3 separate regions of the Mus musculus genome follow, and all the other regions are reported to be linked to region 3. The links are microRNA targets in miRTarBase. Many come from high-throughput screens and were not tested one by one. Region 3 holds a microRNA gene; each other region holds the end of a gene's coding sequence.

Evidence for each region. The annotated mature microRNA mmu-miR-3097-3p reads CUCAGACCUUUCUACCUGUCAG and lies in region 3 at 1,860-1,881, opposite strand. An mRNA with a match to its seed (bases 2 to 7 or 8) in the 3' UTR can be bound and repressed. Matches are read on the target gene's strand: a 7mer-m8 pairs with bases 2 to 8, a 7mer-A1 pairs with bases 2 to 7 and ends in A, and an 8mer does both.
Region 1: miRTarBase lists Sp110 as a target of mmu-miR-3097-3p. Seed matches in the 3' UTR shown: 7mer-A1 at 453-459.
Region 2: the mRNA of Clptm1 is a reported target of mmu-miR-3097-3p. Seed matches in the 3' UTR shown: 7mer-m8 at 2,230-2,236 and 7mer-m8 at 2,296-2,302.

The regions. Positions count from the first base shown.
Region 1 is chr1:85,573,575-85,577,574 of GRCm38, reverse strand. Sp110 (Sp110 nuclear body protein) reads left to right here. Exons shown (of 12, transcript NM_030194.1): 12 at 230-676. The coding sequence ends at 283. Among named protein-coding and RNA genes, the nearest start is that of Sp110, 23 kb to the left of the region's middle.
Region 2 is chr7:19,629,942-19,633,941 of GRCm38, reverse strand. It overlaps Clptm1 (cleft lip and palate associated transmembrane protein 1), which reads left to right. Exons shown (of 14, transcript NM_019649.2): 14 at 1-2,362. The coding sequence ends at 251. Among named protein-coding and RNA genes, the nearest start is that of Relb, 2.5 kb to the right of the region's middle.
Region 3 is chr5:35,018,432-35,022,974 of GRCm38, reverse strand. Mir3097 (microRNA 3097) reads right to left here and starts at 1,926; the gene lies at 1,860-1,926. It overlaps Rgs12 (regulator of G-protein signaling 12), which reads right to left. Exons shown (of 17, transcript NM_173402.2): 5 at 3,463-3,632; 6 at 2,569-2,661; 7 at 1,716-1,859; 8 at 204-383.

The sequences.
Region 1 (4,000 bases), not on the chromosome of region 3:
GGGGAAGGGACTGAGGAAGGAGAGCTTGGGCCTTAGGCCTAAGTAAAGGGGAGAGTTACCTTATCACTAAGGGGAAACTTAAAAGGGGAGTGGTTTGGGGAAGCTCGTTTCTCTTCCCACACCTAACTTGATATCTAGATACAGGTGTTTCCTAAAGGGGGGAAACATCAATATTCACAAGAGAAGAAACTCCCAGAATAATCTCACTTGTCAACCTCTTCTCTTTCAGAAAGGACTTTTGTTCTTTACCTCCAAGAGTAAACCTCAAAAGAAGGGTGCCTAGCAGATGAACTCCTGACCTGATATGTGCTCAGCTCCTGTGCTCGCTCGCACTCTGTCTCTGTCTCTCTGTCTCTCTCTGTCTCTCTCTATCTCTGTCTCTCTCTCTCTCTCTCTCTCTCTCTCTCTCTCTCTCTCTGTGTGTGTGTGTGTGTGTGTGTGTGTGTGTGTGTGTCTGAACTTTGCCTTTGAGCCTCTGAGTGTCCCAGCTCTGAGGTCCTTCGTAGTTGTGGTCCTCATCACAACTGACCCAGCACTGTGGTACACGCTCACGATGTCCTTGTTCACAGCTGACTTACAATGGCAAAGTGCATGAATACTAGACAGTAAAAATAAAGCTGTTGGTGTCTCTGTGCGTTTGAAAACTATCTTGATATTAAAATGGATATAAACTAAAGGTGTCCAAAGGAGACGGCTTTCGTGCAAGAAGTAAGCATGAGACCAAGTGTTGTTCAATGCCACACACTTAGTGCTTGTGGCAAGATGATCCAACCAAGCTTTGTCTGCAGAGACCCCCCCCCCTCCAGGGCAAAGGGCAATCACCTGGCAGAGTCACTGTCGTCAGCCTTCCTTACCCCTTAGGTGTGTTCTCCAGGCATAGTCCTACCCATAAGCTTCTTTCAAATGAGAACTTCTAGCAGAGATGGTGCTGTGTCTCCTTGGCTTGAGCCTTGGCCAGTTTCATTCAAAGTTTAAAGCAAAGATCCCCCCCCCCCCCCCCCCCCCCCGCCACCGTGTCACTTACAATGTAAACCAACCTTTATCATGCTGATTGAAAGACACTGAGGTCAAGAATGCTTAGTGTGCGGTCACTACCAAATTCCATTGATATTATAAAATATATTGATACTGGGTAAACTTTTAAGACACATATAAAAATCCCATAGCCATTGCTATGGCCTTGATGTTCCTTATCAAGACCTGTGTTGAAATTGAATCTCTATCATGAGTTAGTAGGAGAGAAGCTTAAGTCATGTACGGCAGTGGTTCTCACCCTGTGGGTCGAGAACCCTTTGGTTCTCAGGGGTCACCTAAAATCATCGGACACATCAGATATTTACATTACAATTCATAGAGGCAGCAAAGTTATAGTTATGAAGTAGCAATAAAAATAATTTTATGGTTGGGGGTCACCACAGCATGAGATACTGTGTTGAAGGGTTGCGGCATTAGGAAGGTTGAGACCCACTAACTTACACAGTATTTGGAGGTGAGACTCAGGAGGTTACGGAGCATAATGAGGCCATGAAGGTAGAGGTAGAGAGAGCCCTTGTCCGTTAGGACTGTGCCTGTGTAGGAAGAAGGGGTGAAGCCAGGTTGGCACCTCACACCTACCATCCCAGCCCTGACGAAGCTGTGGTCACAGACTCAGACCCTCATTCGTAAGTGTGAACAAACAACTAGAAACCTGCAAAGAATCAATAGGAAAAAAAAGAAAGAAATGCTGGGCAGTGGTGGTGCACGCCTTTAATCCCAGCACCTGGGAGACACAGGCAGGCGGATTTCTGAGTTCGAGGCCACCTGGTGTACAAAGTGAGTTCCAGGACAGCCAGGGCTATACAGAGAAAACCTGTCTCAAAAAAACAAAATACAAAAGAAAAGAAAAAAAAAGAAGAGGAAGGGAGGGGAGGGGAGGGGAGGGGAGGGGAGGGGAGACGAGAGGAGAGGAGAGGAGGGGAGAGGAGGGGAGAGGAGGGGAGAGGAGAGGAGAGGAGAGGAGAGGAGAGGAGAGGAGGGGAGGGGAAAGGAAAGGAAAGGAAAGGAAAGGAAAGGAAAGGAAAGGAAAGGAAAGGAGTGATTTCCTGACACGTAGAGCATATGGAAGATGGGAACAGAAGAATCAGTTCAAGCTCAGCCCTTCTCTACTCAATCCAGGACCCACCCAGCCCGGAGGATGATGCTCTCACTTAGAGATTGGGGCTCCCACTTTAATTAAATGAATCAAAATAACCCCTCACAGACACACCCAGAGGCACATAAGGCCTCACAGATGTACCTCATCTCCTAGGTGGCTACAACGCCTGTCAAGCTGGCAACATTAATCCTCACCAGGATGTAAGGTTTTCAGACATTGTTTCCTTTGCTCCCTTGTCCTGGAGGGGAAGGGGGGTCAGCACTTTCTTGACAGTAATGCTGACTGTTTATTAGCCTCTGCTTTGAAGAGAAGAGTTACGGCAAAGTCTGCTTAGATCCAACACAACTCAAATACCAGGTCTATGGCCACAACAAAAAACTTATTGTAATCAAGCATCTATTGATTGATCTGGGATACAGAACAGTGATCGGGAGCTGACCTGTGACCCCAAGCCAGAATGTTACAGAGCTTTTAAGCTTGAAATTCACACACATCTGTGCCAAGTGACAGTTACATTTCCCATCTATCAGGATTTAGGGAGAGGGGACTTTCAGAAACAGTCCATTGTGGTGGTCAGCTCCTGTTCTTTCCCCCTCTGCTTTAAGGATCTTCATGGAGCTGAGTGGCAGCCTTCAATACTTCCTCGTATATGACCATTAAAAAAATTACCAACACCCTATTTGGTATATTTGATGGACCTTACTGGAGCAGGAAAAATTTGAATAAACTTAAAGTGAGTATCCATAGGACTGACGATGGGATGGATTTGGAAGGTGAGAGATAAGACAAAGGCAGGCTGAAGCCCCGGGTCTGTGGCGTATGGAGCCTGTTATATAAAATGGAAGTTCCAAAGAAGGAGCAGAGTGTGATTGGAGGGTGGGTTGCAGAGGAGACGTGGCTGAGCATTAGAACCCGAGGAGCTAAGGAGAGGCGAGGCACATGAAGCTAAGGACACAGGTGGAAACTGCAGCAGGAGAGTGACTCTGATCATCTGGACAGACTGTAGCTAAGGATGGAAACCTGGGGAATTCCATCCGTTGCATGTGGAGGGGGAGAAGGACCTGGGAAGGAAAGTGGTCCAGCAGTCAGGTGATACAGCAAACCACCAAGACTGATGCAGAAGGACCGACTTCTCCTGAAGGCAGAAATGGCCCTGGGCACAGAACGGTTGGCCTTGTCACCTTGGCTACTTCCCTTCTCCAACTCACTCACCCAGCCCAGTCCTCAAGCATGTCTCATGGCTGTCCCTCAGATGGCCACAAGAAGGTAGGAATTCCTTCTGAACAGGTGTCCTAGTGCAACTCTCTAAACATACCCAGTCTATATAAGAAGTTAAAGCCCTAGAATGCTGCCCAAGACTGTAGAGCACTTACCTACCACTAGAGAGCACTGTGGGTCCCTCTTGACACTGGAAGCTAAAAGGAACTAGTGAGGCCTTTTAAGGGAACAGGAATCCTCTAGATGGCTGTCATCAAACACAAGTAACATGAGAGTCAAGCAAGAACAGAAGTAAGTCTATCAGAGAACTAAGAGTGGCAAAGAACAACAAGCCAAACGCTCTTGCTTAGGCACGTGTGTTGGAGGGCTCTTTATGCGGGCAAAAGGTCTCTTAGCTGTTGGCCACACGTTTCAAGCCTCCCAGCCAGTGTAATGAAGTGGCTGAGATGTGCTCTGTGTTGTGAGCTGGAAGAGACCTGTGTGGCCTCATTTCTTATTTAACCAGGTTGGGTCTGGTAGCAGGCCCAGGTTAAGTGTCCCACTGCTGGCTCAGACATGTCTGCTGGACCTTCCCATCTCCAAAAATGCTTCAGTTTACTTGGAGAAGCTCAAGAACAAGGATTCCAGGAGGAACCACAAATTACAGGG
Region 2 (4,000 bases), not on the chromosome of region 3:
TCTACCAACGGTGGATCTACCGCGTCGACCCCACCCGTGTGAACGAGTTCGGTATGAGTGGAGAGGATGTCTCAGCAGCGGCATCCAGGGCCCAGGCATCCACTGCAGCAGGGGCTCTCACACCTGCACCCAGCACAGCTGTCAGCGGAGAGGATGCCTCCACAGTCCCAAAGGCCACTTCTGGGGCCTGCACTGCCAGCCAGCCCCAGGAAGCCCCTCCAAAGCCAGCAGAGGACAAGAAAAAGGATTAGCCACTGCAGTCCTCCTTATCTGCTCCTGGTGACTGACCACCACCACCTCCCGGGCCCCTCCCTTACCCTCTCTGTCGCCCTCTTCCTGGACAGATCAGGCCGGGGCGGCAGGAGGCCCCCAGGGCCAGGGCCCGGTGTGTGAGATGGGGCCGGGCAGGTTGGGGCTGGCTGTGTGTATGTGGAGGCACCGTCCATCGTCTTGTCTATCCGTCTGTTCCTATGTGTTTGCAGACATCTCGCCCTGCCAGCCCAACACCATCGGGAATCATGGTGAAGCCAATATGGCGCCGAGGGTGGGCCAGGCGGGGAAGGGGCCAGGGCTCCTCTGTGGGACGCCTGTGGTCCTCCATCATCTTGTCCCTCATCCCCCGACCACCCTGCTCCCAGACCGCCACCCTTTAACACAGTCTGGATTTAATAAATTCATATGGGTGTTTAACTTAAGCTCAACCACCGCACCTCCTCTGCCTTCCTTGTCCGGACCATGCAGCTGGCTCAGGTCTTCAAGAGACCTGGAGGTGATGACGGAGTGGAATCTGGGGTTGTTCAGCATTTAACACCCTGGGTTAACCCTGTGCTGCATAAAACAGTGGTGTTGTATGCCTGTAAGTCAGAGCTAACTTAGATGGCAGAGGCTTGCAAGGTGGCTCAGTGGGTGAAGGTACTTGCCATGCAACCCTGATAACCTGGCTTTGCACTTCCATTGTGCTACAAGGCCACACAACCTAAGTTGATCACCAAACCACACAGAGGCAGGAGGGAAGCAACTATAGTGTTATCTGACCTCCACACACACACTGTAGCACACATACCCAAACAGGATAACTGCCCTGCAAGAGGTCTCCCAAAACAGTTCCATCTTAGACTCCTACAAGGCTGCTGGCTAAAAGCATCTGGTATTTGTGGCTAGCTGTGTGCCACCAGGCAGGACCTGAAACACTAAACACCACCAAGTCTGCCTGTGAATCAAGAGGCTACCCCCAAGAAGGACAAGCCCTATTTAACACTCCTCAATGGAGAAAACAGAATGGGGCCTGTATGCACTTATCTGGGCCACAGCAGAGTGAGTCCTTGGGTGTCATTGCAGTGTCCCTCAAGAGCCTAACTGTCCATACCAGGAGCAGGGCCTGCTTACCCTCTCTAGGAGAATGACAGCCATTGGGGGTACTCACTACACCTTCCCAGACTGTAGGATCAGCAGTGCTGCAAGGAGGCACTGGCCCAACCCCAGGTTGCTTCAGGCTCCACCTACTTCTCCCTGCTGAGTCAAGCAGGGATGGTGCCTCACAGGTAGGTATCATACCCACTCTCCTTGCTGGGCTCCCCTTCCACCTGCTGACCCAGTGCTCTCAGAAGACAGCTAATGTGATCCCCAGGGGGCTGCTGCATGTCCCCAGCCTTTGTCTCATGCTCTGCCACAGCCTCACCTCTAGCCCCAGTCTCTCAAGTCCTTTCTGGGACACAAGTACCTTCAGGATACAATTGGTGGTGTTCCCAGGCACCCCTTACCGCCTAGTCCTGAGGCTCTGCCCACTGGTACATCATGGCAAGGAGACTTCCTTCACTGGACCAAGACCTGTGAAAACATGACTGTATCCTAGCCACTCTGGTGCCATTTGCTTTCACGGACATCTGGACATATCCAGTGCCCTTATTGGGGTACTGGTGGATGGGTCTCTATTAACCCTTCGCAAGTCTGTCTGGGCAAACAGCACAAAACAGTTCTGTGTACACAGTAGGACCAGCATTCCATGGCAGTTCTGAGGAGCTCACAACTTAGCAGAATTCTAGGTAGTGTTGGGCACAGTGGTTATTCCCCATCCTTGATTTTGAGAGGTCAATCCAGATTTAAAAACTTTCAGCTAGCCTGGGCTACAAAACAAGACTTGGCATAGTGGCACACACTTGTAATCCTGGCACTTGGGAGGTGGAGGCAGAAGGGTCAGGACATCAAAGTCATCCTCACTGCTTTGAGTTGGGTCTGAGGGGCTGGAGAGATGGCTCCTCTGTTACAGGCTAGGCTCACAACCAGAAATAGAAGCTGGGTCTGAGGCCAGCCTGGGCTATTTAACACCTTGTTTGAAAGAATAAAAAATGGAAAACACCATGGATGCACCATGTACTGTCCCCAACTTTGAGAACAGTGTCCAGCATTGTTGCTGTGTGTGTGTGTGTGTGTGTGTGTGTGTGTTCACAACAGCTCTTTGAAGTTTGTGATATTCTGTACCTCCAGATGAGAAACTCAGTTGTTTTTTTTTTTCCCAGCTGGCCATGGGATCACACACATTTAATCATGGTACTCAGGAGTCAGAGGCCAGCCTGGTGTATGTACCCTAACAAGTATTTAGTAGTTTGAATAGTGCAGGTGCATGGAAGACCTGTGTCAAGAGTCAACTAGACTACCTCCTTAAGTCTTTAAAGCCATCCTGTTAAGAAACTCAAGTCCAGAGTGGTGAAATCAGTTGCCTGGAATTGCATAATTGTCCAGGAAACCTAGTATTTGAACACAGGATATTTGATTCAGGACCTTCCAATTACAACTCTCTTGAGAGAGATTGCTTGTCTTTTCATTCAGGGTCTTGCTATAAGTAGTCCAGACTGGCCTAGAACTCGTGGTGATTTCCTGCCTCAGACTTTCAAGTGTTTTAAGTTACTCGTGTGAGCTGTCATACCTGGCTCTCAGTTTTGCTTTTGAATTCACAGTCGTGTCTCAGATCCAGGCAATCAACACAGGTCCTCCAACATGCTAGGCAGGTGCTCTACCACTAAGCCACACCACCAGCCCAATTTTCCCCCTCTTCTCCCCCTTCTTTTTTGTTTTATTTTGTTGGTTTGCGTTGAGACAAGGGCCTGCTATGCAGTGGAACTCACTACTTGTCAGTGGATCTCCTGCCTCTGTCTGTCCAGAATGGGCATATTGTGGCTACAATATCTTTCTGTGTGCTGCTGAGAACACAGCCTAGAATCTCATACATGCTAGACAAGCATTCTATCACAAGCCACATCCTCAGCACTACAGTTGGAAAACCTCAAGGAAAGCAGTGATTGGTGTGTGTGTGTGTGTGACTGGCAAGCTTATTCTATGGGAGATGTCCACTCCTGGGCTTGCTTATGACACTGGAACATTTCCCTCTGGTACAAAGTGAAAAAGAATATGATTCAGTGTGAAAGTTACATGATATTCCCATTTCTATATTTATCAAATTATGTTCTAATAGAACATAGCCACATCCCTGTTTCTGGTCCTTGGCTGTTTATGTAAGATGGCACATTTGAAAATTAAGACCATTTGGTTCTCAAAGCCTGAGCCTAATGTCTTTCATTGCAAGAAAAGGTTTGCTCTAAGCTGGACGTGATGGTAGGTGCCTGGGATCCCCAGGACTCAGGCTGAAGCAGATGGATTATCATGAATTCAATGTCAACCAGAGCTACATAGCAAAACCAAAACAATGCTCTTTGCTTTGGTGTGCAACAGTAGATACCGGTGCCACATCATTCACTGCTGCAGTTTTCTGCCTCTGGAGCAAGAAGTGGGCCTGGTTTTAGTAATGCTGTACCCTAGTTTTCATTACAGGCTGCAGCATATGGCAAGTGCTTAATTATGCGTAGGTTGCTTGAATCATTGATCACACATGCTATGATAGAAGGGGAATGGAACATACAAGTTTCTATAGGTTTCTATAGGTTATAGGTGCCATATATCACCAACGGGCTGGGACTGTAGCTCAGTATTCATGAAGCCCTGGGTT
Region 3 (4,543 bases):
CTATGAGTAAGGATTCTGAGGAATCAGGTAGAATCTTCAGTGGGTCAAGGGCACAGTCCTCTCTTTCACCACCGAGGTAGCCAGGGGTTAGGGGATCAGGAAAGGGTTCAGGAGTATCTGTGTCCTACAGGCCCCACCTTCTGCTGGTGACAGGATGTGTGGTTACAGCCTTACTCTCACCCCCACAAGGGCTAGCCCAGCACCTTTTTTGGTGTGGACACATTGGAGTGGTCAGAGCTGATGCTGTGCTTGGAAGCTGGGCTGCTGGGGACCTGCTGAGAGTCCGGGAGGGTACGTCCCTCCACCTCTGCCAGGACGCATTCTTGGTACAGCTGGGATTTCAGAAAGCGAGTGTAGCTATCAAACTTCATCAGGTTGAAAATCTGTGGAGCAGATGCCATGCAGTATAGTCACAGAAAGAACGGTAACTCCTTAGGTCCTAGGCGGTATAGGAGGTCTGTACCCATGAATGAGTGACATTTTGGAAGGGTGTCATTCCTGCCAACCCTCCCTTGGGCCCCAGGGCACTCAGATGTTAATTAACTCTCCAGGGACCCTTCTGATCCCTGTCAACAGCCTCTCCTTTGTCACTCTTAGTAAGAGCAGAGTCATAGGCATAGGCACAGCCAGAAGGGCAGGCAGACTCAAGACTGTGGCTGCACCCTTAGCAGGCCTTCACTTCCTAGGAACTTGGAAGGCAGTTGTCTCAAGGGTAAGTGAGGCCTGGGGAAGCTCTGCTCTGTTTTAAGCTAATTCCTGCAACCTAGCGGCACAGCAGCTGGCAGGGCTGGGAAGTGTGTTCTGGACGGGTCAGATCACATGCTCTTCCAGAATTAAGACACAAACATGTAAACAGGGTTCCATGTGCATCCTGTGATCCGGCAGAGGCTGAGGCACGAGTATGTGAGCTTCATGTCAATGGTGGTGAAATTACACAGTGAGATCCTGTCTCAAATGACAATTGCTGCTACTGCTACTAAGCACGTAAACATGTAAGTATACAGACAGGTCCACAGCATTCTGGATGTACACTAGTGTGGCAGCGACGTGTGCTCATAGAAAGCTTTCTCTGGGCTGGGATAATGCAGTTATCATCCGCTCTCAAATGCTGGAAGTGACACCGAACTTGCTCAGAGTCAGCCCTGCAATCATCAAAGACCACTGACCTTCCATAATGTGCTGTTGTGGCCACGCTGTAGCTGTCATGTTCTGTAGGTCAAGTGTGTCCAATGTGCATACAATTTTTTTATACTTATTTATTCATTTACTTATTTAGTGAGAGAGAGAGAGAGAGAGAGAGAGTGTGTGTGTGTGTGTTGTACACCCACCATGGTCCGTGTCTAAAGAGTACAACTTATAGAAGTTGATTCTCTCCTTTCACTATGTGGGTCCCAATGATCAAACTCAGGTTGTCAGGTTTGGCGGCAAGAGCCTTTATCTGCTGAGCAGTCTCACCAGCCCCATAGACTTTTGAAAAGTAATATTGTCCCTTACTTCGGTTGACAGTGGGTACATGGGGCTATCTGTGGCAAAGGCTTTATTGTTCCTCAGATCTACTGAATCCTTTTGAGACTGGAGCCCAGTGGTCAGATGGGCTTGTCACCATGCCCACATGACCAGCAGCCCCCTTCCCAGAAGGGCACGTGCTACTCTGAGTGACTCTGCACCCCCAAGCCTTGGCTGGAAGCCCCATGGAAGACTGTCTGCAAAGTCACCTGGAGCTGTTGTTCCTTGAACATGTCAGGGTGGGGTGCATTGAGAATGTCATCTGCCAGCTGGGCCTGGCTGTCAATGTTGACAGGAGTGGTGGCTTTGCTGCACAGGAATTTACTGAAAATCTCCCGGGCCCTGTAAGAGAGCTGACAGGTAGAAAGGTCTGAGCAGATCTGTAGACACACCCACTGGACACACACTTCCCACCTGTGTCACTCAAACATTCCTAAGGCTGACTCTGCTTCGGGGCTGGAGAGCTGAGTCACAGGCCCTGTCTATAGTCTGGCTTATGAAAGTAAATATAAAAGAAAGAGCCAGGAGGAAACTCCTGAATCGGCTCCTCTACAAATTTCTAAATGGCTGCAAATTTCTAAATGGCTGCTTTGTAAGGGCCTCAGAGGAGGATCTGCCAGCAAAGTGTGCACGACAGGGGAGGGCAAAAGTGCACAATGCTCAGAGCACAAGACACAGGCATGAGGCCACTCTGTGAGGACAGCTGTTACTTTGGGGGAAAGGCCACAGGACATGGCCTGGGCAGTCCTGGGGCAGCTAGACAGGTGCTGTTAAGCCACAGGTAGAGGCTGCAGTTTGCCAGAGTGCTTCTCCAAGTCTCTTCAAACACTGTTCCTTCTTACCCAACCCAACGTCAAGTGCCACCACTGCCAGGCTCTGTGGCGAGGCATTTATGCAGACTATGTTTAGGCAGAATTAAATGTCACACACTTAAGTTTTTATGCTGAAGCAGAAATGTCACCGTTCTTTAAAGTCAGTAAGAAGCATCCCTCATCGACTGCTCAAGCAACCCTTGATGTAACCTCGGTCCTCACACAGCCCCTGCTCTGAAGAGCAGTTTACCTCTTTTTTGTCATGTGCAGGAACATGACTGAAGCACTCACAGGCCTGCCAGAATAAAATGTTCTCTTCACTGAATTCCTTACGTAGAAAATCCTGAGGGAACACAGGAAGGAGAGCAGTTGTCACTCCACAACCCCTCTATGAAGCTGAGCCCCATATCCCCGGCCCTCTTTGTCTACACCATGGCAGGAAAGGAGCCTCGCAGGGGCCTTGAAAGCAGGCATAGGGGCTGCGCAGCACACGTGAGTGGGCGGGCCATCTGCCTCACAGCTCTTTTCTCAAGGGCTGGTCATCTTTTTTTTTTTTTTTAAAGAAATATATTTTTAGTCTCTGGTTAGCATATAAAATATGACATCATATCACTGACACTATTATCACGTGCTGCTCGTAATCACTCTTTCACAGCTCCATCCCTACTTCTGGATCCTTAAGAGCTGTATTTGTCAGCATGCATTTCCAAGAATTTTGAAGAAGCTCCAGCTAGGATGATGTCATACAACTGTAATCCTAGTACTCAGAAGGATAAGGCAGGGGGATTATGAGTTCCAAACCAGACTGACTAACATAGTGAAATCCAGTCTCAAAACAAACAAAAAAAACAAACACACAGAGCCAAGACACTCTGATGTTCCTTGCTGCACAGACATCGAGAGAGTGAGAGGGAAGTGTGCCGGCAGGGAACTCCAGGGCAGGAGGCAGGCCAGGAAGGGAAAACAGAACTGCCAGCCCCTACAAGTGTACACGCTACCTACCCCATCCTTGAGCTTGGAGCAGGTGCTGGACGACCACACCTCTAACAAGGTGATGCCCAGGCTCTGAGGTCTGAGATGGCCCCGTGAGCTCAAGCACCCGGGCTCAAAGTGCTGCCACCCCACAGCAGTCCCCCTTACTCACAGAGAAGTAGCGAACACCAACAGGATCCTGAAGGAGACGCTCAAATGACACTGCCCAGCTTGCAACTCTCCTCTCTCGTAGGCGCCGGCAGCTCTGCACACTGGGGAGGCTGGCATTGCTGCTCAGGCTGTTGTTGCTGATGCAGTCCTTAAGGTCAGCTCCAGTCAACTCTGCAGGATCATCACAGACATACCTGCACCTCGGAGGCCACAGGTACCTATATCCAGCTCTACTTCCCACAACCCATGTTGTTCACTGAGCAACATGTACTGCACCTGAAACCTAGCCAAGGCTTTCTAGACTTCAGAAAAGAACACATCTCAACTTCCCAGGGCTGAACAAGAGAAGCTATTGCCTAAGGTGTGCATACAACACAGAGCAGAAAGAATGATGCTGAGCATACGGAAGGCGGGAAGGCATTTATAAGTGCACCACAAAGCAAAAGCCCCTGAGTGAAGTCTGAGGAGGGGCTGCAGTTGGTCCCATCACCCTCCTGGTGCTGTCTGCTGCAATTTGGATCCATGGCTCATTGCCTGTGCACTTTTCTGTGTGCAGATCACTTTTCAGTGACGATATTAAGCCACACTATCCAAACTGAGTATTTAACCATGTGTCATCTGGTAGCTCATTCACTGATGACCCGATACAGGAAAATATTACAACAAAGAAAAGGAGATGTGTCTAGGAAGACCCCATCTATCACCCTTGTCACTTGAAGCAGCCCAGGGATGAGGGGAGGGCCACAAGCCAGTGTAAGTAGAACTCTATAGCACTGTTACACATGGTGCTCTGGAGAGCGAGGCACAGGTAGCTTCAGAGACAAGGCCAGCCCAATGTGGGGTGGCACTTTGGGGCTATGCCGTCAGGGGGCTCAGGCAGCAGAGCTGATGAAGGTGATTTTCCACGTGGGATCATTAAGGAAATGCTGCTACGTCACATAGTCACAGGACTCCATCTGCTCTGAGCATTCCGGACAGGCTACTCAGGATACTCTGCCCTCTGGTCAGGTCACAGGACAGATTCCTGGGGACAAGTTAGCAGGCTCTAGTTTGAGATCAGTCACTGAAGTGCCCTTTCTAGC